Linked DNA regions of Macaca mulatta. The protein of the gene in region 3 purifies or fractionates together with the protein of the main gene of each other region. This does not show direct contact. Links are inferred from orthologs where the notes say so. Each region holds a gene or a part of one and is shown on either strand. Other genes may lie near its edges. The genes, in order: SIKE1, CTTNBP2NL, STK24, PPP2R1B, PPP2CB, SLMAP and CTTNBP2.

Evidence for each region.
Region 1: the proteins of STK24 (region 3) and SIKE1 purify together in Homo sapiens (affinity purification with mass spectrometry; 4 studies listed by BioGRID and IntAct, with this or other methods). This does not show direct contact. The link is inferred for Macaca mulatta from reciprocal best matches to the Homo sapiens genes STK24 and SIKE1.
Region 2: the proteins of STK24 (region 3) and CTTNBP2NL purify together in Homo sapiens (affinity purification with mass spectrometry; 3 studies listed by BioGRID and IntAct, with this or other methods). This does not show direct contact. The link is inferred for Macaca mulatta from reciprocal best matches to the Homo sapiens genes STK24 and CTTNBP2NL.
Region 4: the proteins of STK24 (region 3) and PPP2R1B purify together in Homo sapiens (affinity purification with mass spectrometry; 3 studies listed by BioGRID and IntAct, with this or other methods). This does not show direct contact. The link is inferred for Macaca mulatta from reciprocal best matches to the Homo sapiens genes STK24 and PPP2R1B.
Region 5: the proteins of STK24 (region 3) and PPP2CB purify together in Homo sapiens (affinity purification with mass spectrometry; 5 studies listed by BioGRID and IntAct, with this or other methods). This does not show direct contact. The link is inferred for Macaca mulatta from reciprocal best matches to the Homo sapiens genes STK24 and PPP2CB.
Region 6: the proteins of STK24 (region 3) and SLMAP purify together in Homo sapiens (affinity purification with mass spectrometry; 6 studies listed by BioGRID and IntAct, with this or other methods). This does not show direct contact. The link is inferred for Macaca mulatta from reciprocal best matches to the Homo sapiens genes STK24 and SLMAP.
Region 7: the proteins of STK24 (region 3) and CTTNBP2 purify together in Homo sapiens (affinity purification with mass spectrometry; 3 studies listed by BioGRID and IntAct, with this or other methods). This does not show direct contact. The link is inferred for Macaca mulatta from reciprocal best matches to the Homo sapiens genes STK24 and CTTNBP2.

The regions. Positions count from the first base shown.
Region 1 is NC_133406.1:125,479,995-125,482,578, forward strand, and holds the end of SIKE1 (suppressor of IKBKE 1), read left to right. Parts: intron 1-1,029; coding exon 1,030-1,131; 3' UTR 1,132-2,084; downstream 2,085-2,584.
Region 2 is NC_133406.1:127,818,946-127,822,445, forward strand, and holds part of CTTNBP2NL (CTTNBP2 N-terminal-like protein), read right to left. Parts: intron 1,978-3,500; coding exon 1,747-1,977; intron 1-1,746. UniProt on the Homo sapiens protein: Regulates lamellipodial actin dynamics in a CTTN-dependent manner. Associates with core striatin-interacting phosphatase and kinase (STRIPAK) complex to form CTTNBP2NL-STRIPAK complexes.
Region 3 is NC_133422.1:93,280,086-93,284,354, reverse strand, and holds the start of STK24 (serine/threonine-protein kinase 24), read left to right. Parts: upstream 1-1,469; 5' UTR 1,470-1,495; coding exon 1,496-1,537; intron 1,538-4,269. UniProt on the Homo sapiens protein: Serine/threonine-protein kinase that acts on both serine and threonine residues and promotes apoptosis in response to stress stimuli and caspase activation.
Region 4 is NC_133419.1:112,503,252-112,506,751, forward strand, and holds part of PPP2R1B (serine/threonine-protein phosphatase 2A 65 kDa regulatory subunit A beta isoform), read right to left. Parts: intron 876-3,500; coding exon 643-875; exon of another isoform or gene 598-642; intron 1-597. UniProt on the Homo sapiens protein: The PR65 subunit of protein phosphatase 2A serves as a scaffolding molecule to coordinate the assembly of the catalytic subunit and a variable regulatory B subunit.
Region 5 is NC_133413.1:32,584,232-32,587,731, reverse strand, and holds part of PPP2CB (serine/threonine-protein phosphatase 2A catalytic subunit beta isoform), read left to right. Parts: intron 1-1,219; coding exon 1,220-1,393; intron 1,394-3,500.
Region 6 is NC_133407.1:121,296,125-121,300,308, forward strand, and holds the start of SLMAP (sarcolemmal membrane-associated protein), read left to right. Parts: upstream 1-1,384; 5' UTR 1,385-1,591; coding exon 1,592-1,789; intron 1,790-4,184. UniProt on the Homo sapiens protein: Associates with the striatin-interacting phosphatase and kinase (STRIPAK) core complex, forming the extended (SIKE1:SLMAP)STRIPAK complex.
Region 7 is NC_133408.1:157,247,919-157,250,162, reverse strand, and holds the end of CTTNBP2 (cortactin-binding protein 2), read left to right. Parts: intron 1-609; coding exon 610-855; 3' UTR 856-1,744; downstream 1,745-2,244. UniProt on the Homo sapiens protein: Regulates the dendritic spine distribution of CTTN/cortactin in hippocampal neurons, and thus controls dendritic spinogenesis and dendritic spine maintenance.

The DNA.
Region 1 (2,584 bases), on a different chromosome or scaffold from region 3:
AGGTACCTGCCCAGAGTCTAGTGGAAGGGATAATCCTAGTATCATATGATATTAAATAGTATGTAAATGCTAGGAGACAGATACAAATACTGAAGATTCATCGACCACAGGCTCTAATCTCTTAGTTACTCTAGCTGGGACTTCCGCACATCTTGGTGAAGCTAAAAATGCTTTGGTTTACCAGAATTTTCTGCAGAGAATAAGGATGAAGAGCGGAAGCTACTCTCTCTAGAAATCAAAGGTAGTGACAGGTCCCAAGGAGGAATTAGGAGCTAGTGAAATGATAGCATGACCTTCTATTTATCCTCGATTTACCTCACTTATGGAAACAGCCCTAAGGAAATGTGGGACAAATTCTACCTTAATACTTCAAGTAGAAAAAACATGACCACTAGATTCAGACCCCAGTAATACCACATCCAAGTTGTCTGAATTTGGACAACTTTTAGGAATTTTGTGAGCCAGAGCATCCTCATGAAATATATGGATGTAGGCAATGATACCTACCCTACAGATTATTGTGAGATAGCATATACAGGGCACCCAAGTAGTACCCAGCTACATGCTCAATAAGTAATTTCTTTCCCCCTTTCCTTCCATTTCTCTGGAACTATAAGATATCCAGGAGAGGAGATTAATCAGAGTGAAACGATTATTAGGAATTTTTTAAATAAAAGAAATAATAGTAAAACTGTGGGAACCATGAAGAATAAAACATAGTGAATTCCTCAAATGGAGAGGGACCCTGTTTTTTGTTTCTCCTTTGTAATTGTAACACTTGGTATATAGAAATTACTCAGTAAATTACTACTACAAAAGAGTATCATTGCCTACATCCTACATGTAAATGTTTGTTAAATGAATAAATAAGTAGTATTTAAGGAAATTCTCAACTAGTGGGTTTTTTGTTTCCTTAAAATTTTTTAAATTAAAAATAATGTTTTCTGCTCCTGGCTCAAAATAATGTGTTGTTGTAATGCAGCTTGACAGTAAATATACCAGAAATAAACATGCCTTTTTTTTTTCCAGCTTGAAAATAAGGAACTTCGAGAATTATTGTCCATTAGCAGTGAGTCTCTTCAAGCCAGAAAGGAAAACTCAATGGACACTGCTTCCCAAGCCATCAAATAACTGAACTCTGAATGATGGCTGGAGATTGTCTATCAAGGAAGGAAGTTACTATCTTCCCATTCAAGTACTGTCCATTAAGTGTCTTGCCTCAGATTTGATTTAATCTTAATTAAAGGTATCAGGTGGCAATTTAGAATTCCAGTCAATAATGGCTGTCCACGGTTCTCAGATGTGTTAATATGAATACATGCTGAATTTCACCATTCCTTTCTCAAAGAGACTACTTTTAATTTTCATTTCTGGGACTTTGATTTATATAAACTATGTTTCAGTTCATTGTTATTTTTCACATCTTTGAAACTTTGAGCATTTTTTTATAAGCCAGCAATTTTATTTTATATAGCATTGTAAAATACACTTCTAGGAAATTTTAGGAAAGATTTAACTTTTTAAATCTATTTGGCATAAACCCTGATTTTTTTTTTTTCCATTTGACAAAATAATACAATTCCACAGAACTAGGTCAGCAGATTCTCTGATTTGTAATGTCATTCACCTGTGAAGTTTTAAGTCTCTCTGGTGCTAAGAATTGGCACTTTATAGCCTGGTGCCTTTACTTTTAATTTGAGAGAACCTACTGCTAGTCCCAGGAAACGTACTTGGAAATAAGTCAGCTATTTTTTTCCCCAGTGATACTATAGTTGTCGTATTGTTCAAAGTTCATACTGTTCAAAGCTGAGGAGCTTGTCCTGTGTATGCGCATGCACACGTGCACTTAGTTCAAATACTAAAAGTAGCTTTTATTAAATATAATCAGCCAAAAAAACACAAAAAATCAAAAAACCAAATATAAGTAGTCAGTTTTTCAATGTTATCGTATTAGTTCTATATTCTATTTTAATTTTTATACAATTTCCATTTTATAATCAAGAACCATCACTTACTTGGATTGGATGTCTTTCAGTCCTAGCACTAATAGGTAGTTGGCTTGCTTTTTTTTTTTTTTTTTTTTTTTTACATAGAAGCAGTTGTGTTTTTTGGTTTTTTTTGGTTTTTTTTGTCTTTTTTCTGTTTTTTTTAAGCTATATAAAAAGGTGAGGAAGCAGTTTTGTTACCTAATGAAAATTATTACACTCATAATGCTGTGTAGGCAACATTGAGATTCAAATGCTCAGTGGTCAGCTGGGTTCACTCATCAACTCATTCCCATCTCAGTTTACTCACATTTCAAATTTATAAATTCTTCGTGTTATACTATTCTATTTAGATTTGCCCAGAATTAATTGAAATAATGCTAAACCTGTCAATAGTTTCCAGTAACATTAAGCACCATACTGCATGGGAGAGACACAGTATTAAAAAGAGTTGTTAGTGCTTTATGTGATATATTTCTTTTGTAATGCTATAAAGAACTACAGTTAAAACAAAATCTTTCAAAGATGTCCTAAAAGCATCTGATCCCAGTAATAACTAATGGATGTCATCTAGAGCAGTGGGTGTTAATGAATAGGTA
Region 2 (3,500 bases), on a different chromosome or scaffold from region 3:
CTGCACCACTGCATTCCAGCCTAGGTGACAGAGTAAGACTTCATCTCAAAAAAAGAAAAAAAAAACGTTGGTACTTCGTTTCAAAAATTTAGTACTTAAAACATTTAGCACTGCAATATAGTATTAAGAAATTTTGAATTATTTTTAACTTCTTCCTCTCTCCAATCACCTAGAGCCACAAACTGTCCATAGTACACCTTCCATGGGCATGAAAGCTAGCCCAACTAGCTTCAACACAACTCAGTCACCTCATGGATGAAGTGGAAATAAAGCCTGCCTATTAAACAAGAATGTTGTGAAGATTTTTTAGAGGATTATGTAAAAGCCGCCCCCCGCCCCAAATTTAGGCAACTAACTCCCACCCATTGATAACCTTTTAAATTGGAGTGTAAATGTTTTCAGATTACTTCATTCTAATCAGAGGTTAAAACTTTTTTGGGTCTTGGGTAACTGGTAACTTGGAGAATCTAATTAAAGCTATGGAAAAAATACATTTCCTACAAAAATACATAAACTCTGAACATTCTATTTTCTGGGGGATTGTGGAACATCTGAGGCCTATCCACATGGTTAAGAAGTTCCACTCTGGCCTTTCATTTGGCGTCTGTGAAGGGAAAGAAAAGATCACGTGCGAGACCCAGAGCCTAGAAAATTTATCAGATGCAATTTAAGCAGATGGCTCTAATACTGGTAACCAGAAAAGTAAGGTCCACCAAATTTTGCAGCTGCTAACCCAGTTTTTCAGATGAAAATGTTTCCTACCAAATGCACTGATAACTGCCTTGTTGGCATAAATCTAAACTGATAGTGTTTTAAAAATGAAGATTGTAGCCAAGCATCTTTTACAGGCCAAATTTGAGCAGTAAATGACAAGATGACAAGTTGGTGAATAAATTCACAAGCACTAGAATTCCAGTAAGATGAAGCAGAGGAAAGCACTGGTTTGCCTTCTTAGGGCTTGTTAGAAATGGAAACACACACACACACTCTTTACTGATAGGGTAGAACAGCTTTAAGGTAAGTAATGTAAATAACTGTAAGGTTTGTCTTCCTAATGTAGGGCTTGTTAAATATGGAAACACACACACTCTTTTCTAATAGGGTAGAACAGCTTTAAGGTAAATAAGGTAAATAACTGTAAGGTTTGTCTTCCTAATTTAGGGCTCGTTAAATATGGAAACACACACACAACACTTCACTAATAGAGTAGAACACCTTTAAGGTAAATAAACCTAGGGACTATTTATGGTTTCATGAGCAACAAAATGCAATGAAACTCAAAACTAGGAATAACAGGAATAAATGAAAATAATCTATTGGCTTCTGTGTTTATCCTCAGGTAAATTCTTTCTCTCCCTTGGATATAGCATGCCTCAAATACCTGTTAATCTTTTTATTTATCTCTTAAGTAAGCAAATAGAGAACACTCCCTTCAGCTACAAGCTTGGCCAAACCCCAAAGTTTGAATGATCAAGAACTGAAAAAACATACAAAGTGTTTTGGAGTGATATATCAAGAAGGAATGCCGTCTTAAATAATGTGTCTGGCACATTCTCTAAACTTAACACTTGGAATAAGCTGTGTTTTCTTTTCTATCTCCTGACTCTTACATAAACTAAGCGGTTTTTTGATACCCGCGAGATGCCCAATTGAATTACTGTGAAAAACTGGCAGCTGACAAGAAAGTATCAGGCATAATTTATCAAGACTTCACAAAGATTTACACATCAACTGAGGGGAACCTACCTTTCGGTGCCTGCTCTCAGCGGCAGCCAGCTGGGACAGCATGCGCTCCTGCATGTTCTTGCACTGCTTCATCACCACCTTAAGAATAGAGAGTGGGTTTGTGCAGACTGGCTGCTTTTCGCCATCATTTTTCTCCTTCAGTGTTTCAAAATCTCTCTGTAGAGCCATTAAAGGATCACTGATGTTATATTTTCCATAGCGTTCTTCAATGAAAGTATCTCTGTGTTGGGCCTGGGAAAGAGGAAAAAAAAATAAGCATCTTGTTTTTTAAAACTACTGAGAAGGGGGTATTTGCTATCCAGTGGTTATACATTAAAGGTTGTGGTATTAGTATAAATGTAACCTGCTAATTACAAGTCAGATTGAGCCATCTAAAGAAACAGCATTAGAAAGGTGGCATGGTATATTAACAAGAACAAATACTTATAAAGCACTGGGTATTAGATATTGTTCTAAATATTTATAGTCATATTAACTCATTTAAAATGTACAACCCTGTAAGGTAGTGCTATCATCTCGATTTTGCTGATGAGAAAACTATTCCTGGTTACTCATCTAGCAAGTTGTCTGAATTGGCATTTAAACCCAGGCAGCCCGGCTCCAAAATCTGTGTCCTTAACCTCTGTGCTTACTGCCTCTGCTTGTATCTGCTTATGAATGCTTATATTACCAGCAGATACATGTTATTTTTTTCCCATGTTATGGCACTAGCATTCCTAAAATATGTTAAGCACGACAATTTTATGAGTTTATATATTTAGAGACCTAACAAAATGCCAGCAGATATATAAAGTGTGCAAAATATAAGTAGGATCACATGACAATCTAGGATGACTTGTGATCTGTACATATGAACCATTACTCAGTTGTTGATGGGTCAAGGAGGATGGAGGCACCTCACAACCAGAAATGCACACAAAATCTCTTCCACCTGCTGCCAAATTCCACCCCCTCTTCTTGTCTCTGTTTGGTTGTTACTTTCCATTCTCTTTTCTGTCTCTTTCAAGGCTTGATGAGCCTTGGGGATGTGCATGTAAGAAGGGGATGCAAGGTGGTGCTTGGAGTCTGGTCAAGGGCTTTAGCCCTGGGTACCCAGTTGGAAGTATAAGGATCAGGAGGTGGGTGGAAAGATATTCCTAGGCTTCCTTCCCTCTTTCCTTATCTCTGTAGCAAGACCTTGAAGAACTTCATATGAGCATCACATATTACACGCACATTACTTTTTACTTATTACACAGATATTTAAAAGTTTCTTGAGATATTTTGCAATGAAAAATGAAGTGTTAACAGGGTTGAAGAAACTAAAAAATTACAGCAAAGTACTATGTAATTTAAGCTTTCAAATTAAATCTATTCATGAAAACTACTATTATTTATCCATTTTTAAAAACTGTTTAATCAGTAGTTATGTTAGCACCGCCATCCACAAATAGGAGCCTGTTTAAAAAGAAACGGAAGGTTGCAATTCAATGGCTATGCTTTAATTTAAAAGAATCTTTAAGAAAATAATGCAAACATGGGGTTTCTTTAACACAGAAGTATTTCAGTGCTGAAAATCTGAAGACTTCTTCATTGACTGTTCAATTTAGGCCCCAGGAATCACTTAGCCTTATGGTAAAATTTTATGTTGTTATTAGCTGGCAAATATTCAAAGCAGTTAGAAGTTCGGGGTTTTACTTCTGGCTCGACTACAGCCATCTTACTTTATGACATTACTGGAGTATTTGGATGGTATTTGTATACTGGAAACATGA
Region 3 (4,269 bases):
TGTGTCAGATCCAGGGCATCCTGCGAAACTGATGTTCGTGGATGGAATACAATGACACCTCGGAAAAGAAATACTCCTTACTTTGGTGGAGGCCTTTAAACTTTTGGGGGCTCATTTTGTCTGCCTAACTCGCCCAGCCAGGGTGCAAAATGGCCACTTAGGAGCATGAATGAGGTACCAGCGTCCCTATAATCTAAGGGGCAGGGAGTCATCACTGGGGTGGCTGCCGCTCTACTGTTTGCGACTGTAATAAAACACTTCCTGGAGGCCGAGGGACCCGCTCCATCCTGACTTTTCCCCTCAGTAGCTAGAGAGAAGGCAGCTGAAAAGAGGAGACAGAACTGGTGCTGAGTGGGCCTGGAGCTTCCCAGGAAAAGGAAAGAGACGGAGAGGGCTGCAGTTCAAAGTCCAGATGCGCTTTCCTTCCATTCTCTTCCCTTCCTCCCTGCCCTCTGCACTCCATTTTCCCCTTTTCGTGGGTGGGTGCTCCTGACTTGCTGCGGACTCCAGAGATGGTGGGGTTCAGCCTCCTCACTGCTTAGCTAAGTTCCCAGCCCAGCAGCCCCAGCGGGGCTGTTTTCGGTAACCAAAGCGCTAGGAATCAACCTCTCTCTCGGCCTCTCCCCTTTCGGTTTCCTTCTTGGGTTGGCTGGAAACTTCACCCAGACACCGAAGCAGCTCTGCCCGGCCTTTTGGCACAGGCCACCGGCCGAGGCCCCGCGGGGCGCTCTCCCTCCCCAGGTGCCCCTGGACCCTGACCCTGCCCTCTGGGGCTCGCCCGGAGCCCGTTTCCCCATGGATCGCCGGGGCGGAGTGGGCTGGCTGGCGTGAAGAGGGGGCCACGGCCCAGCTCTCCCCGGCGCCGGCCCGGTGGGCGCACGGCCAGCCTCCGGCCCCGACTCGGTCCCTCCCAGCGCCCGCCCCAGCCGAGGCCCCCTCCCGGCCCAGCCGCCCGCCCGCCCGCGGGGGCGTGGGAGCGCCGCGGGAGCAGCTGGGACCCGGGCCGGGCCGGCAGGCGGCGGCGGCGGCTGCGGCCTAGGGCTCGCGCGCGGCCACCGGCCTCTCCCCTCCCCCTCCCGGAAGCGCGGGGCGGGGTCCCCGGCCGGGCCGCGGGGGCGGGCGCGGGGGCCGGGCCGGGACGGGACGCGCTTGGCGCTCGCGGGCTCGGCGGGCTGTGCGCGCCCACTCCCGCTCCAGCGGCCAGCGCGCGCGGGCCCAGGCCGCCCGGCTCCAGCCCAGCAGCAGCGGCGGCGGCGGCAGTTCGCGCGAGGCCCCGCGCCCCCAGCAGCTCCTCCCCCGCGCCGTGCATGGAGACGCGGCCCGCCACCCGCAGCTGAGCCCCCGCCGCCCGGCCGGGACCCGCCGGGGCTGGGGTGGCCTCGGGCTCCGGCCGCCCCGCCGCCCGAGGGTTGCGCGCGGCCCGCGGGCCTCGCCGCCCCGCGCGGATCGCCGCGGCCCGGCCGTCCCGTGCCAGGAAGTAGCCGTCCTGAGCGCCATGGCTCACTCCCCGGTGCAGTCGGGCCTGCCCGGCATGCAGGTAGGCGGGCGCGGGCCGCGGGGCCGGGATGCGCGACCGGGGCGGAAGCGGCAACTTGGCGGTGTCCACACGGCGCCCCCCTACGCCCAGCTGGCCGGGGTCGCGCCAGAGCCTGGCTCCCCGCGCGCCCAGCTCGGCCGGGGGTCCGAGTCGGAGCCCCTGATGTCCCTGCCGGCTCTGGCGGCCGAGGTCTCCGGCGTGTGCTTGCAGGAGCCGTAGGGACCGCGGCCTGGGTCCGGATGTGGGGGTGCGGGCGCCTCGTCCTACGCGCTCCCCTCGCCCCAACACTCCTCCGGAGCTGCAGGCCCTGGGTGGCCTCCTCCCCGGGAGAAGTGAGGTGGAGGGATGCCCTTGGAGGCCCCCGCCGGGTCCCTGGGCCCTGCGTGCGGGCCGGGTTGGCGGCGGCCCCCAGGACGCGCCCCCCCAGGCTCGTCCCCCACCCCCGGGCGGGCGGGCGGGAGACCTGGGCAGGGCGGGGACGGGGAGCGCGCCTGGACTCGTCCGGGCCCGAGCGGAGTAGGCAGGGCGGAGTGGAGGAAGGTGTAACCGCGAGTTCCACTTGGAGTGGCCTTGCACCTGCGGACTGGGGGGAAGTGCGAGCTGCAGACCTTTTGGAAGGAGGAATCCCTCGCACAGCCGCACACCAGGGTCCCGGGCCTTTCACTTTGAGACTTGGTTGCATTTACAGGAGTTCTTCGCCCAGTAAACCTCTCCTTCGGTACTTGGTGACATCTTGGCCTACCAGCGACTTTTTGAGGGATGGGGGAGGAGTTGAATTTCAAATTTACATGTATAAGTTAAAGGTTTTTTGTTGTTTTTGTTGCCATTGGGGACTGCTTTTAGCCCTTTGAAAAACAAAACCACCGTCCTTGGCTAACTCTTGTAAAGTTTGTAGGCGCAGAAATGGTGGCAAAATGCTTAGGATTGAAATCTTAGGATACAATTAGGATATGTCAGGAAAGTTTGCTCTCCCAGTCTAGCTGAGTGAACGTTAAGTGTTCGAAGAAAACCAGAAGCATCCAAGTAGATTACCGGTTGACTTATAGATACCAACAGGCTCATTCCCTGTGTGTTGAGGGCTGAGAAGCACAGTGCCCAGACCTGGGACTGCCTCTGGAGTCTGCCCGCGTTTTCCAGTGAGATCATCCCTCTCCCTTCTTTTTTTGAAACCATAAAAAGAAAACTGGATTTCACTGTTCACGTTTGAATTCTGGAAATATAAGAACTCAAAGTTACCGCTTTAATGGCAGCTAGAATTTTACTCCAACTGTGTATTATAAGCAGTATATATATGTGTGTATATAAATGTTTAAGCAGTAAATAAATATATATATTTAAGCAGTAACAGTATCTTAAGAGTGACTGGGAAGATGCTTGAAGAATATTCTTTTGTCGACTCTCGTTTAAGGAGCGTTGAATTTAGCATGCATTCAAAACCTAAACTTCTGCTGACTGCTGGGTAACAATCAGATGTGGTTTCTTGGTATTTCCTAAAGCCGCTTTGGTATGAATTTAGAGGTGTGTAGGTCAGAGTGAACTGGGTGAAAAAACGAATTTCTTACCAGTCGAGCAAGAAGGACTCTTGTAATGATTTTTAAAAAAACTTTTATCAATATTTCCTTTAGGTTGACATTTATACCGTGTGCATCAGGTTGGAGTCTAGCACAAATGCCTCACTTACTAGGTTAATTGGCCTTTGTGGATAGCCAATCAGTTTGAAAAGGTACTAAAGCCCCTTTGGCTGGTGCTGTGAAGTCAGTATCAGATGGTTACCAGGTGATACCTAGTATCTCACCTTTTCATTTTTGTCCTTTTTTTTTTTTTTTGAGTGGATCAGAGTTCTTAAATCTTGGGAAAAGAGGATACATTTCCTTAATAACTTTGCCTCTCAACTGTTACGTATCTGTTAGATTGTGTTACATGGGAACTGTTTTTGTTTTCTCAGTATGAAAGATGGTAAGTGTTTCTCAGGAGAAAAGATGATCAGATTTTCAGCTGTTAACAGTTTTACAGTTTTAGAGGTAGGAAAGTTGGCTTCTGCCAGTCATTCCTGTACCTAAGTACATCTACAGACTGTATGGTAACAAAGTGTATCATTTGGGGAAGAACATTCTTTTCTCCTTCCCCATCCCCCAAAAGAAAAACAACAAGCACATTTATTTTCTACTTCAAATTAGCAGTTGCTGCTGCCCTGGGAGGCTTCCCTAAGAGTTGTTGCTGAAGATTCAATTAAAAGCACACCCGCTTTCAACTGTTGTCTGCTAAATGGGAGGAGAGAAGTCCATATCTTCTATGGCTTGCCCTGATAGGCCTCATAGCCCCCCCTTTTTCTTGTCTCCTGACCAGGGCTTATAAGGAGTTGGCTTAGAAAGACAGCAGAGTCTGTAATCCAGCACTTTGAGAGGCCGGAGCGGGCGGATCATGAGGTCAGGAGATTGAGACCATCCTTGCTAACAAGGTGAAACCCTGTTTCTACTAAAAATCAAAAAAATTAGCTGGGCGTGGTGGCACAGGCCTGTAGTCCCAGCTGCTCAGGAGGCTGAAGCAGGAGAATCGCTTGAACCCGGAGGTTGCATTGAGCTGAGATCATGCCATTGAACCTCAGCCTGGGCGACAGAGCCAGACACCATCTCAAAAAAAAAAAAAAAAAAAAAGGCAGAGTGAATTTAGGTGGCCTAGGCAAGGATGCTTGAAAAATAACAACCATGTTAGTATAAACACCATTCTTCCGT
Region 4 (3,500 bases), on a different chromosome or scaffold from region 3:
CGTGATCCGCCCGACTCGGCCTCCCAAAGTGCTGGGATTACAGGCTTGAGCCACCGCGCCCGGCCCAAAAAATATTTTTTTTTGTTGTGGGGAGCTCAACTGAACCTCCCACCTCAGCCTTCTGAGTAGCAGGAATACAGGCGGGTCCCACCATGCCCAGCTAATTTCTTTTTTCTTTTTAGTCGAGACAAGGTCTCACTATGTTGCTCAAGCTAGTCTTGAACTCCTGAGCTCAGGCAATCCTCCCACCTCATCCTCTCAAAGTGCTGGGATTACAAGCATCAGCCACTGCACCCAGCCAGAAAAAATTTTTAAAAATTAGCCAGACGCAGTGGTGTATGTCGGCAGTCCTAGCTACCTGGAGGCTGAGGCTGGAGGATCACTTAAGCACAAGAGTTCAAGGTTGCAGTGAGCTATGATTGTGCCACCGCACTCCAGCCTGCGCAACAGAGCAAGACCTTCTCTCTTAAAAAAAAAAAAAAAAAAAAAAGATGTCATAAAACCTACTATCCTAGTATCAGCCACTCATTGGTTACAATGTACTATGTAAACTGTCAGCTACAAGTCCCCAGTAATCCCAAATAACTAATAGCTTACTGTCTGATTTCTGCTTTAACAAAGCAAAAAAACACCAGAGCTTACTGTCTGATTTCTGCTTTAACAGCATTTGATGCCCTGGGATAGCAAACGCTGAACAAACCACATGCAGACGTGCGAGAGGTGAACCAATCCCCACTTGCTAGGCGTTTCACCAGAGGTACAAAATAAGCTTCCAGAGCAACAGGAGTATGCTCCTGGGAGATCTGTCTCAGGGACTCCACAGCCTTGTCACGAACAACAGTCTCTTCCACAGTTGCCAGATTTTCCAAAGGAGGCTGAATGGATTAAAAAGGAAAACCAGAGAAGAAAACTTATTGAATCAGATTAGAAACAGATAATCACCTTTTAAAGTGACTGAAGGGAGGTGGTACACGTAACCAGAATGTTAGCTGCATCATACCAAATGGTTACTTTCAGCTCACACAGTGATAACATATGGTGCGGCCAACCTGAAGACACGACTCCTGTAGAAAAGCCAAGATCTCGTGTCCCAGATGGCAATTCCCAGATGGTGTCTACAAATGACACAGTGTAAGAGACTTGACACAATATTAATATTACTGTGAGCTGAATCACTAGGTTTAAAAGATACAGAGCCAAATTCAGACAGGATCCTGTATATTTCCTCAAGAGTAAGTACAAAAATATGACCAACATTAGGCACCACAAATACAGGATAACAGCTTGTCACGTCACTGAGTCCACCGCCTTTTCAGTATCATTCTACCACTCCCAGAGGTGAAAGCAACGCTTATCCACCATCTCCATTCCATCCTTTTATCCAACCTACAAAATGCTGAGTACAAAATTGCTTTTTTCAGAACACATTCAGCAACTTTCCATTAGCCATAGGGCAGGAAGGAGTTTCTGACAGAACAATCAAGTGAAAACTACAGAGACTGGCCGGGTAAGGTGGCTCACGCTTGTAATCCCAGGCTTCGGGAGGCGGAGGTGGGCAGATCACTGAGGTCAGGAGTTCGAGACCAGCCTGGCCAACATGGTGGAACCCTGTCTCTACCAAAAAATACAAAAATTACCCAGACATGGTGGCACATGCCTGTAATCCCAGCTACTCAGGAGGCTGAGGCATGAGAATCGCTTGAACCCGGGAGGCGGAGGTTGCAGTGAGCTGAGATTGTGCCACTGCACTTGAGCCTGGGTGACAGAGTGAGACTCTGGTCTCAAAAAAAAGAAAAGAAAAGAAAAGAAAAGTACAGAGATGGTAGGACACCTTGCTTACAGCTTTAGAAATAGAAGAGGCCAAACAGGGTGGATGATCCGGATTAAGAGCAGTAACTGAATATGGCATGGCCTAGTAAAAAGTGTAAACAGGCTGGCTCTCTGAACCTCTGCCTTACTGAGTTTGCATGTAGTCCAGGTAGATTCTACACATGCCATGAGCTACAGATTTTTAAAGCATAAAACCCACATATAGAACTAACCAAGAATGAAACAGAAGCATAATGAGTTAAAAAAAGAAGTGTGTCTAATAATATATTTTTAAAATTGTTTGATACACACAGGTACACAGTATTCAGCTTTCCTAGAAGGTATTTCAGAAGCCCATTAAAAAGATACTGTTTCTCACTTGCCAAGGCATTTCATGATCTGTCCCCTGCCTACTGTAACCCCCTCTCCTGCAGTAACACTGGATAATAGCTATCATTACTACAGGATGAGGCCATGCTCCTGAGAATTGCTTAAGAGTGGTCTCTTGATTTGAACTCTGCCTGGCCCTTGATGACCACTCTGCCTACCCAACCTCAACACTTCACATTCCAGCAGTTCTTTTTTTTTTTTAAGAGACAGGGTCTTGCTCTGTTGCCCAGGCTAAGTGCAGTGGCACAATCATGGTTCAGTGCGGCCTCAGACTCTTTGTCCTTCTGCCTCAGCCTCCCAAGTAGCTAGGACTACAGACACATGCCACCATGCCCAGCTATTTTTTTTTTAAGAGTTGGGGTCTCACTATGTTGCCCAGGCTGGTCTTGAACTCCTGGCCTCAAGCGATCCTCCTGCTGCTTTGGCCTCCCAAGGCAAGGATTACAGGTGTGAGCCACCACACCCAGCCACACTCCAGCAGTTTTGAACCCAGTCTGTTTCATGCTTCCAAGCCTCTGAAATTCATTTTCTCAATACATGATTATTGTTGTATCTAGCATTGCGGACACAGAAGAAACAAAGCAGACAAGCTTCCTCACTCTAGTGGCATTTACATTCTAATGGAGTAAGACAACAATCAATCAAGAAAACAAGTAAGCGGTGATGAATACTCTATAGAAAAAAGGAGTAGGATGATGTGTTAAGGGATGACTGCGAGGCTATTACAAGTTGAGTGGTTGGGGAAAACCTCCCTGAGGAGATGCATTGAAGAAGATCCGTGAATGACAAGGAGCCAGGCACAGAAAGCTTGAAAGAGCTTTTCATTAGAGGGAAGACCTAGGGCAAAGGTCTTAAGGGAATAATAAGCTAGGTTAGTTCAAAGAACAGAAAGATGACCAATGTGAATGTAAGAGATTATCAAGGCCTTTTGCGCTCTGTCCCTGCCTACTGTGACCTCTTCTCATGCAGTACCACTGGGCATATGATAATCCTACAGAGGCAGGTCATAAAAAGCCTTATAAGCTAAGGTACAGAATTTGGATTTTCTAAGAGCTATGGCAGAGAGTGAGCCATCTGCTGGGTGACGTGAACTGTAAGGGTCGGGTGAGAGACAAGAGTGGAAAGCATTGTTAGGAAGCTACTACAGCAATCTAGAGGAAAGATGATGGTCTGGACTAGGCTGGTAATAAGAGGGATGGAAGAAAGTGGACTGATTTGAAATATACGTAGACTCTATAGGAATTACTAATGGATTAGATGTGGGGAACAAGGGAAAGAGAATTCAAGAATATATTCTAGGT
Region 5 (3,500 bases), on a different chromosome or scaffold from region 3:
TCAAAGTTTCTTCTTCATCAGTGCTCTGGACTCTGTGTATTTCCATATTCGATTTCCCCCACGAGGTTACTCTGTCCCTGATTTCTTACCTTTCTGCCAAGACTCAGCTCAGGTCTCACTTCTTTCATGTAACCTTCAACCATTTTAGCCTTATTCCTTCTACTCTAAATTACTATGAGGAAACTTATTCTCCCAGCCCTTATTTATGCTGCAAAAGTGGCTTACTGCCTTGTATTACTTACTTTACATATCTCCTTACTGAGGTTAGTCCCTCAGCAGCAGAAGCCATATATTACACAGTCATGGGTCACTTAACTACAGGCATACATTCTGAGAAATGTGCCATTAGGTGATTTTGTCATCTTTGGAACTTACACAAACCTAGGTGGTATAGCCTACTGCACACAAAGGCTATGTGGTATAGTCTCTTGCTCCAGCCAACATCATACATGTAATCTGTTGTTAACAAAAACGTTGCCCAGCACATGACTGTACTTGTGTAGACCTGGCATCTGGCTTTCTAGCACCAAACTTACGTTAGACACATAACGGATGCTTAGTAAAATCTGTATGAACTGAAGTAGATTCTTGCAGCTTTTTGCGTAATTTGCAGAATCCAATGCTTTTTCATATTTCTTATCAGACACATTGCTAACTAAATAGTCGCTTATGTTTTTGTTTTGTAATAGAAAGGAAACTATTAATACATTTGAATTCTTGCCCAGTTTTGTCAAGGGCCTGTTTTTGTGTTATTATTGGCAAATCCGATCTTCCTGTGGGAAATAAAAATGGAAAAGGGAAGAAGTTAATCTGTAGAGTAGTTGATCTCAGCTTCAAACCTGTGATTTGCACTACTCACAGTAAGAAGTCATAGTGTTCTAGAAAGATTTAGGAAAGTAATAATAATTTGATGATGAAAAAGATAATAGAAACAAAGTATCAGATACAAGTCTATTATAGTAATATAAGTATTAGTCAAAGGTTCTGATGAGGGTGGTCAAAACATGATGAAAAAGGATGATTATAATAAACATGTCAAATGTTAACCAGTAATACCTGGTTATGAATAAGCAAGATTTTTTATTTCGAAAATGAAATTAACATTTAATATACTGGTGGCCAAAAGCGCCGTGTTTAACAATGGGTCGGAGACTAATGTACTTCACATGACACTAGTAAAAATGGGATTTTACTATGGGTTTTACTCCATTTCTTCCAGGTGCGTTATCCAGAACGCATTACAATATTGAGAGGAAATCACGAAAGCCGACAAATTACCCAAGTATATGGCTTTTATGATGAATGTCTGCGAAAGTATGGGAATGCCAACGTTTGGAAATATTTTACAGATCTTTTTGATTATCTTCCACTTACAGCTTTAGTAGATGGACAGGTATGTATGTGTGTGCTCACATCTTGGGAGGAGGGGAGGTAAATGAAGGCAAAGATTGACTATTGGTAAGCTAGGGTCTAGATTCATATGACCTGTGTTTCTGCATCTCCTTGGCCTTTTCCTCCTTCCCTTATACTTTTTTTTTTTTTTTTTTTTGAGACGGAGTCTCGCTCTGTCGCCCAGGCTGGAGTGCAGTGGCGCGATCTCGGCTCACTGCAAGCTCCGCCTCCCGGGTTCACGCCATTCTCCTGCCTCAGCCTCCCGAGTAGCTGGGACTACAGGCGCCCACAACCGCGCCCGGCTAATTTTTTGTTTTTTTTTTTTTTAGTAGAGACGGGGTTTCACCGTGGTCTCGATCTCCTGACCTTGTGATCCGCCCGCCTTGGCCTCCCAAAGTGCTGGGATTACAGGCGTGAGCCACCGCGCCCGGCCCCTTCCCTTATACTTAAAATTTCAAAGCAGGGAAGTGGATAAGTTTCACGTACATTTGGACCAGCAAATTTTCCTGTTCTCAGATATGTATGTAAATCTTTTGACCAAAGAATATGCTGTGCTTTTTAAGATATCGATAAACATTATAAATAAATGCTTAAGACACTGATGTGTAGTACTAGTAAAGCAAGATGTTATTTAAAACTATCTCTGCGTATACACACAGTTTTTGCTGGTTACCATGAATAACTTCGCATTTCTATTTTCATGGTAATTGCAAATGTTATATTGTGTATTACACCTTCTTCCCTGAGAAGTGAATGCTTGGCTGGGCACAGTGGCTAGTACTTTGGGATGCCAAGGCAAGAGGATCGCTTGAGTTCAGGGGTTCAAGACCAGCCTGGGCAATGTAGTGAGACCCTGTCTCTACAAAAAAAAATTTAAAATTAGCTAGGCATAGTGGCGCATGCTTGTGGTTCTAGCTACTCAAGAAGCTAGAGGTGAGAGGATCTCTTGAGCCCAGGAAGTTAAGGCTGCAGTGAGCCGTGATCACAGTACTGTGCTCCAGCCTGGGCAGCAGCAAAACTCCATCTCAAAGAACAAAAAAAGAAAATAGAAGCAAATGCTATTTCTGCAGTGCAGACAGATCATGAAACATTCAAAAGTATAAGAAGAAATTATGCAAATTTCCTATTTCAATTTCTAGAGATAATCACTGAAAGCATGAACTGATTTAAATTTAAATATAAAACAAAGGCTGGGCAAGGTGGCTCATACCTATAATCCCAGCACTTTGGGAGGCCGAGGTGGGTAGATCACCTGAGGTTGGGAGTTCAAGACCAGCCTGGCCAAATGGTGAAACCCGTCTCTACTAAAAATACAAAAATTAGCCAGGGATGGTAGTGCATGCCTGTAGTCCCAGCTACTTGAGAGGCTGAGGCAGGAGAATCACTTGAACCTGAGAAAGACAGAGGTGGCAGTGAACCGAGATCGTATCACAGCACTCCAGCTTGGGTGACAAAGTGAGACTCCATCTCAAAAAATAAAATAAATATAAATATAAAACATATAATAAAACTCCATAATTCTTAAATTATAAAAGCCCAGAGTTGTCAAGAATGTGATGAATTCTCTCTTAGACTGCTTGTGGGAATATAATTTGGTTATAACTTTCTCTGTGTAATCCTGACAGTCTTTTTTTCTCAGCTGTGATTTTGGACACTGCCATGATTAATTTGAAAGGACAATACTTTGCCTGGACTTGTTAAAAGAAAATGTGAATTTAAAAGATGTTAAATTTTAATTAAAGTTGTTTTTAATTGTTTTGAAGCACACAGTCCTCAATAATAAAATTGCTGGACAGAATGATTTTTAAAAGACAGTCTTATCAGTTTTAATGAAGTATCTGGTTTTTTAAATGGGTGCGTTAGTAGAGCTTTTATTTTTTTTTTCCTTCCTCCTTCCTCTCTTTCTGAAAAGTTACTAGAAAAGAAATAATAGTGGACAATACTGATCTAGAAGAAAAGAGGGAAGGCACATAAAACACTAGGAATGAAATAAGGCGTAATTATAACTGTGCAGGAGCTTGTGTATCACAAGAACAGGTGCAGCTTTAGTGCACTAAATTTAAAAAGTTGAATGAAGCTTACTATATTAAAATACCAGTTATTAAAAT
Region 6 (4,184 bases), on a different chromosome or scaffold from region 3:
TACTGTTTGTTTAGAAAACCTTCTACCGCGCAAATTGTTCTTTCCCTTAACCAAAATGGTCGTTAAGGTTGTCCCGAGGTTTGAAGCTTCCAGCCCTTAACTAAGATGGCGCCTGGAGGCCTGTTAAAAATTAGCTTGCCCTTTTTTCTGCCCTCTACCAACACGGCTTCCGTGGCTTCGTTCACGTGACATTCCTGGACTACGGCGCGGGAGAGGGGGTAGGAGGGCCCTTGAAGGGTGCGCGTTCCCGTGGCGGTGCACCGGGTAGGTTTCAGTCAGAGTCACTATGGCGGCCGGCGCTGGCAAGGTAAGCTGAGGCGGCGGTGGCGGCTAAGGAGGTAGCACCCGTCGTGGCGTCCTGGCTCCAAATCTTCGCAGCCTCCTTGCGGAGAGGTCGGCGGAGGTAGTGCCTAGCGGTGGGGGCTGGCGGGGGTCTGGCTGGAGGAGCCGAGGGCTGAGGCTGGCGGGCTGAGGCGCCTGACGGCCGTTTGTTTTGATATTTTCCCCACCAGGTCGGAAAGTTTCCTGCCTCGTCGGGCGCAGCTTGAGCTTGCCCCATCGGCCGCGATCGGTGGAGGCTGCGGCGGACCCAGCCCGGGGCCTCCAGGCCTCTCCCCAACCTCCGGGCCAGTCTCCCTCCCCCACCTTCTCGTCCGCCGGGAGCTGCGGCTGCCGTCCCTGAGATGCGACCCTCGCGGGGGCGACCCTGAGGGGAGGCGGCCCATGTGCTGAGCGGCGGACAGGAGCCCAGGCGTCCGGGGACCAACTTCCTGCCGCCTGGGAACCCGCGCCTCCCGGTGTCGCGCCTCGCTCGGTCAGCACCGGCCTGCGGAGCCGGGTCCCCGCCCTGGTCGCGGGGACGCTCACCAGGTGCCCGGGAGTCCCGACTCGGCTACTGCCCGCGCCCTGCCGGCCTCCACGCCTCGCGCGGAGGACCTCAGCCACCGCCGCCTCGGATCGTGCCAGGCCGGGGACCGCGTCCCCCTTCCCGGGGCGGCCTCCGCGCAGCAGGGGCGATGCAGACTGTCCCGCCGGCCGTCTAGAGCCTCTACACTGCGGGCAAGGACGGGCGGTGACTGCCCAGAGGTGCCCGGCCACACCTTCCTTCGGCCCAAAAGGACTTTCCTGGCCGCGCCGAACCGACCCTTCCTTCATGCTGCAGTGCTGCAACGTTTCCGCCACCGAGGGGGAAAAGCGGCCGCGATCTCAAACCAAACACAAGAATTGGCGTGTGACTCATCTGCTTGGATACCTCCAGTCCCCAAACTGTGTTCCAGGAGTTTTCTTGGCGGAAGCTGCCCGATGTTTGAGCCTTTTCTTCCCAGAGAAGAAGATGGACTGAAAGCTGCCAGTTGGGGACTTTTTGTGATCAGGGCGCTGCTGGGTTTTAGAGGAGGTGATGGGGCTTGCGCTGGCTTGTCTTCCCACCCAAGTGAAGAGTTGATGTTCACTGGTTATGCTTAGACAATGTGCAGTTTGTGTTAATTTAAAATTTTGGGTGGGATAGGGGGATAGGCTTGTGAAGGGCAGTCCGGATCCAGAGGAACTCCTCTTTGTTCCTGGTAGGAGAGACACCCCCAGTCTATCCTCGATGCCGTCAGCCTTGGCCATCTTCACTTGCCGCCCGAACTCGCACCCGTTTCAGGAGCGTCATGTCTACCTGGACGAGCCCATCAAAATCGGCCGCTCAGTGGCCCGCTGTCGACCAGCGCAGAATAATGCCACTTTTGATTGCAAAGTGCTGTCAAGGAACCACGCTCTCGTCTGGTTTGATCACAAGACGGGCAAGGTAATGTCACCACGTTGTCCAGCGGCATTGTTTAACAAACTTGTTTCCCCCGCTTTGCCCTTTCTGAGAGGCCTAATGTATGCAGGATCCCAGGGTTTGCATCCAGAAGAGGCTTTGCGCAAAGCCACGAAACAACTGTTTGGGTGCCTGGTTCTAGTGGAAATTTGATTGAGGTGGTTGAATGGAAAACAGAGAAGGTATTGTAATTAAAAGCCTCAGGAAGTCTATGGCATCTTGATAACGGGGTCATTCCCAGTGAAATACCAAACTAGATAGTGAAACTTGGCGTCTTGCTTTCAGTCTGCTTGGAAAGGTGAATTCACAGTTCAGCGCTTTATTAAGCAAGCAGGAGTTGTCAGAGCAATTCGGGGAATCTGTGGCCATTATTATCCCAGGGCTCAAGTGTCTTAGTAGTGAAATGTAGTTAACACATAGCTTTAGGTGAGTTCAGATCAGGACCTTTCTAGTAAGGACAATTGCTGGTATAAACCTAAGATTTTTGAAAGGTTTGATACATACTTGCTCTTGAAGGAATAATTTGCAATAATCAAAGCTAATTTAATTAAGCATGAACAATTGTAACTTTATATATTTTCAGAGTGTTTTTTACAAGTTGGAGAACATACACATACTGCGTTTGAAAATCACTTTTTGATGTTCCCTGCAGCACTTATTAAGTACTTAGTGCATTCTTACAGAGGTGCTATTCAAAAGTTAGTGTTAGGAAATAAACTTATTTTCTGAAATTATACCCTATTCTGTCAATTATAGCATTACTTAAATGTGATGGGATGAATTCAGTGCTTTTCATTTTAAGCGTAATCAATTTAGTATTTTTATGTTAGTATCGTAAGTTACTATACACGTATGTGCTTTTAAGAAATGAAAGAAATTAAGATCCTTTCCATTTTTAAAAACTGTTTATTTATGTTTATGGATAGTATACTAAAGAGCTCATCTTTGTGCCTAAACCTCAGGTTTTTAGCTGAGCTACTGAATCAGTTCCAACTTTAAGTTATGTAAGACTAATAGGACTGTCTCAGGTTTCACCTCCTGACTTTTTGCCCCTTCTTTCTGAGTTAAATAATTAAATCTTTCTTAAAGGAAGAACTTAAGTCTTCAAGAATATGTTTTGAAATGAAAGAAACCTGAGCCTTAAAAGGAAGAGAAAAAAATGATACTTCGGCAGCTACTGATTTAAGGAATTATTTTGTAAATTATTTTTTGAAGAAAGGAGGAAAAGATTGTCCAAGTGCTGTGTGCTGCATAATATCTATACTTTATTCTACGTGTAGGAGTGTAGGATGAGAACTGAAGAATATGTTAACTTTTCTGTATAACACCAGATCGTCATTTACCTGTGGAGCAGACCCTTCCTCCCTACCCCCAAGCTGAACGTAGGGTGCCTAATTTTTTTTGAGACAGATTTTTGCTCTTGTCACCCAGGCTGGAGTGCAGTGGTGCTATCTCAGCTCACTGCAACCTCTGCCTCCCAGGTTCAAGTGATTCTCCTGCCTCAGCCTCCCAAGTAACTGGGATTACAGGTACATGCCACCACGCCCGGCTACTTTTGTATTTTTAATAGAGACAGGGTTTCACCGTGTTGGCCAGGCGGTCTCGAACTCCTGACCTCAGTTGATTCGCCTGCCTCAGCCTCCCAAAGTGCTGGGATTACAGGCGTGAGCCACCGCACCTGGCCCTCATAATTCTTTAAAATGAATATTCATAGAGCTCATTTTTCCAGCAGTTCAATTTAAATATCAGTTTACTACTAAGTAGTGCCTTAACTCAACCAGCTTTTACATTTTTGCCATTTTATGTTCTTGGGCAACAGGTCTAAACTAATTAGACAACAGGTTTGCTCACGGTACATACTCTGCAAACGCACTTTGATTAAACACTCAAAGGGAACTCTCATTTTTTGTTTTACTTATTTGAAAAATACTGATTTCATGCACAGTGCTTTCCATGGCCGTAATAAAACTCTCACAATAGGTTATTTTGAGATAACTAAGAATAGATCAATAGTGACTGTTTCATGAATTGAGATGACATGTTAATATTTGTTCTTTTTTTTTTTTTGAGATGAAGTCCTACTCTGTTACTCAGGCTAGAGTGCAGTGGCGCAACCTCAGTTCACTGCAACCTCTGCCTCCTGGGTTCAAGCAATTCTCGTGTCTTAGCCTCCTGGGTAGCTGGAATTACAGGCACGTACCATCATGCCCGGCTAATTTTTGTATTCTTAGTAGATACTGGGTTTCACCACGTTGGCCAGGGTGGTCTTGAATGCCTGACCTCAAGTGATCCACCCTCCTCGGCCTCCCAAAGTGCGGCCAACGTGCCTGGCCATGAAATTTGTTCTTCAGAAAAACTTATCTTTGAAGGGTAGATATGG
Region 7 (2,244 bases), on a different chromosome or scaffold from region 3:
TGGGCAAAAAGAGACATTGACCAGGTAATCACAGGAGTTCTGAAACACTAGAGAAAGGAGATACATGCAGCTTCCAAGTATGGAAGATCTTGAGCAACCTAATCATAGATGAATGTAGGCTCTGCTAGGGAAGGGATGTTTCTCTTATGTTTTCTGCTCTATGCCCCCAGATTATTTGATTATTGAGTAATAGGTCACTTTTAGGACATGAAAGTAGAAGGCAGAAAAGTTAGGTAACTTACCCAAGGTGACAGTCTGCAGAGCTACCTACAAATTGGACTACTCCAATTTGGTGATTTCCTCATGCCTGTAATTTTGTGAAGTTTCTGCTGGTAAGGAGAGCGATGCCTTCGCACTTGATTCACTGACTCCTATATTTAGGAATTTTGTAACACCAGACGGGGACTAATGAAAATCATGCAGTAAATCTATAGGAAATTAATTACTCAGCTTCTCCTCTCCATTTTCTTTTGATTTTTCATGAGAACCTATAGTTTTAGAAACTCCTGCGCATTTGCTCAAAGAGGAGGCAGGGGTAGGGCTCATAACAGGAGAAGTTGGTGACAATGGCAAATGTGATAAACTTGTGTGGTTTCTCGTCTCTTACAGGAGGTCAGTCCTCTCAGCAGCCATCAAACTACTGAATGCAGCAACAGTAAATCAAAGACTGAGTTGGGTGTTTCAAGAGTTAAATCTTTTCTTCCTGTTCCTAGAAGTAAAGTCACCCTGTGTTCCCAGAACACCAAAAGAAGCAGCAGCAGCAGTAATACAAGGCAAATAGAAATCAACAACAACTCAAAAGAAGAGAATTGGAACTTACACAAAAATGAACACCTAGACAAACCTAACAAATAGGCCTGCCTACAATATTCTCACTATTAACTTCCTCTGTTTCACACAGAAACCAAGGACAACAAGATATAAATACCTTTAAATGGATAAAATGTTTTCACTGTAATATAAGTTATGAGTGCGGGACCACTATTCAATTTTTTTTGTAAAGAATGTATTTATAACCAACATTTTGTTGCTTTTTTTTTTTTTTTAATTCTGTAGGATTGAACTTCGATACCAAGAAGTTATGCCAACTTTTCAAGTAGTTTTATAATAGAAAAAATTGTAATAGTTTTAATCAAGATGTTCAGGGGTATTAAAACAGAACTGTGTACTGTATATCTGTATATATGTATATATGTATGTATATTTAAGGAAGTCCACAAATCATACTACATACATGCTACAAAATGTATAACTTTGGCTTAGATAACATGTACCATTTTAAATGGAGATCATAATTTTATGTTCACTTGATGGGGAATGACTAGAATGGGGCAATAACAAATCATTTCTAAACAGTTATTTTCCATTAAAAGCCATATTAAGTATTTTGCTTGTTAAATTCTAGTTTTATGTTTTAAATCTCTTAGTAGTTACATTGCCATTTGGTAGCATCATGTATATATTTATGCTTATGAGTTTGCATTATGACTCCTGTAAAATATGAAATTATAATGCAATAAAAGTGTTATCTTTCTTACAAAAGTTTTGTACCTAAGTGGATATAAATAACTGCATAAATGAATAAATTAATTCAGAATTAACTCCTTCAATATTATTTCTAGTAGCACAACTGATAATAAAATTGATATTTTCTACAAGTGTTACTTCTAAAATTACAGACAAAATTACTTATACAACTCAGTTAAGATGCTTTGACACTGAATAAAATATTGATTTAGTGAAATCATTTTGCTGTACTTTTTATCTATAGCTCTTTGTAGTCTATGCAACAGATAATTTGTGTTCAATTTAGTAATGCTCATAAAACTTGCCTTCCATGTTAGTATTTCACTAGCTATTCACAAGATTCAACCCTATTAGAAATATCTTAAATACTTAAATGGAGCACCAGGAATTGGGTGCTCAGGGGTTAAAACATCTTCTTTTTCATAAATACCAAAGAAGTATGATTGTACCAGGAATCATTTACTTGTCCAAAGTCATTGAAAGCCTTTTTTTGGCCAGAATGGTTATTTACAATGAAGTATACATACCTGCATTGTATTGCTATTACAAAACGGCACATACCTTAAAAATAACAATGTAAAGATTATGTCACTGATCTTGAGAACAAAACTGAATGCTCTCAAAATCATAGATCATATCTACAGTCAGGTGGTTCTAATGTGTTTTTTTTCCTGCTCACATACACCTGCTTAAATTATATCTAATTTGATTTGTTAG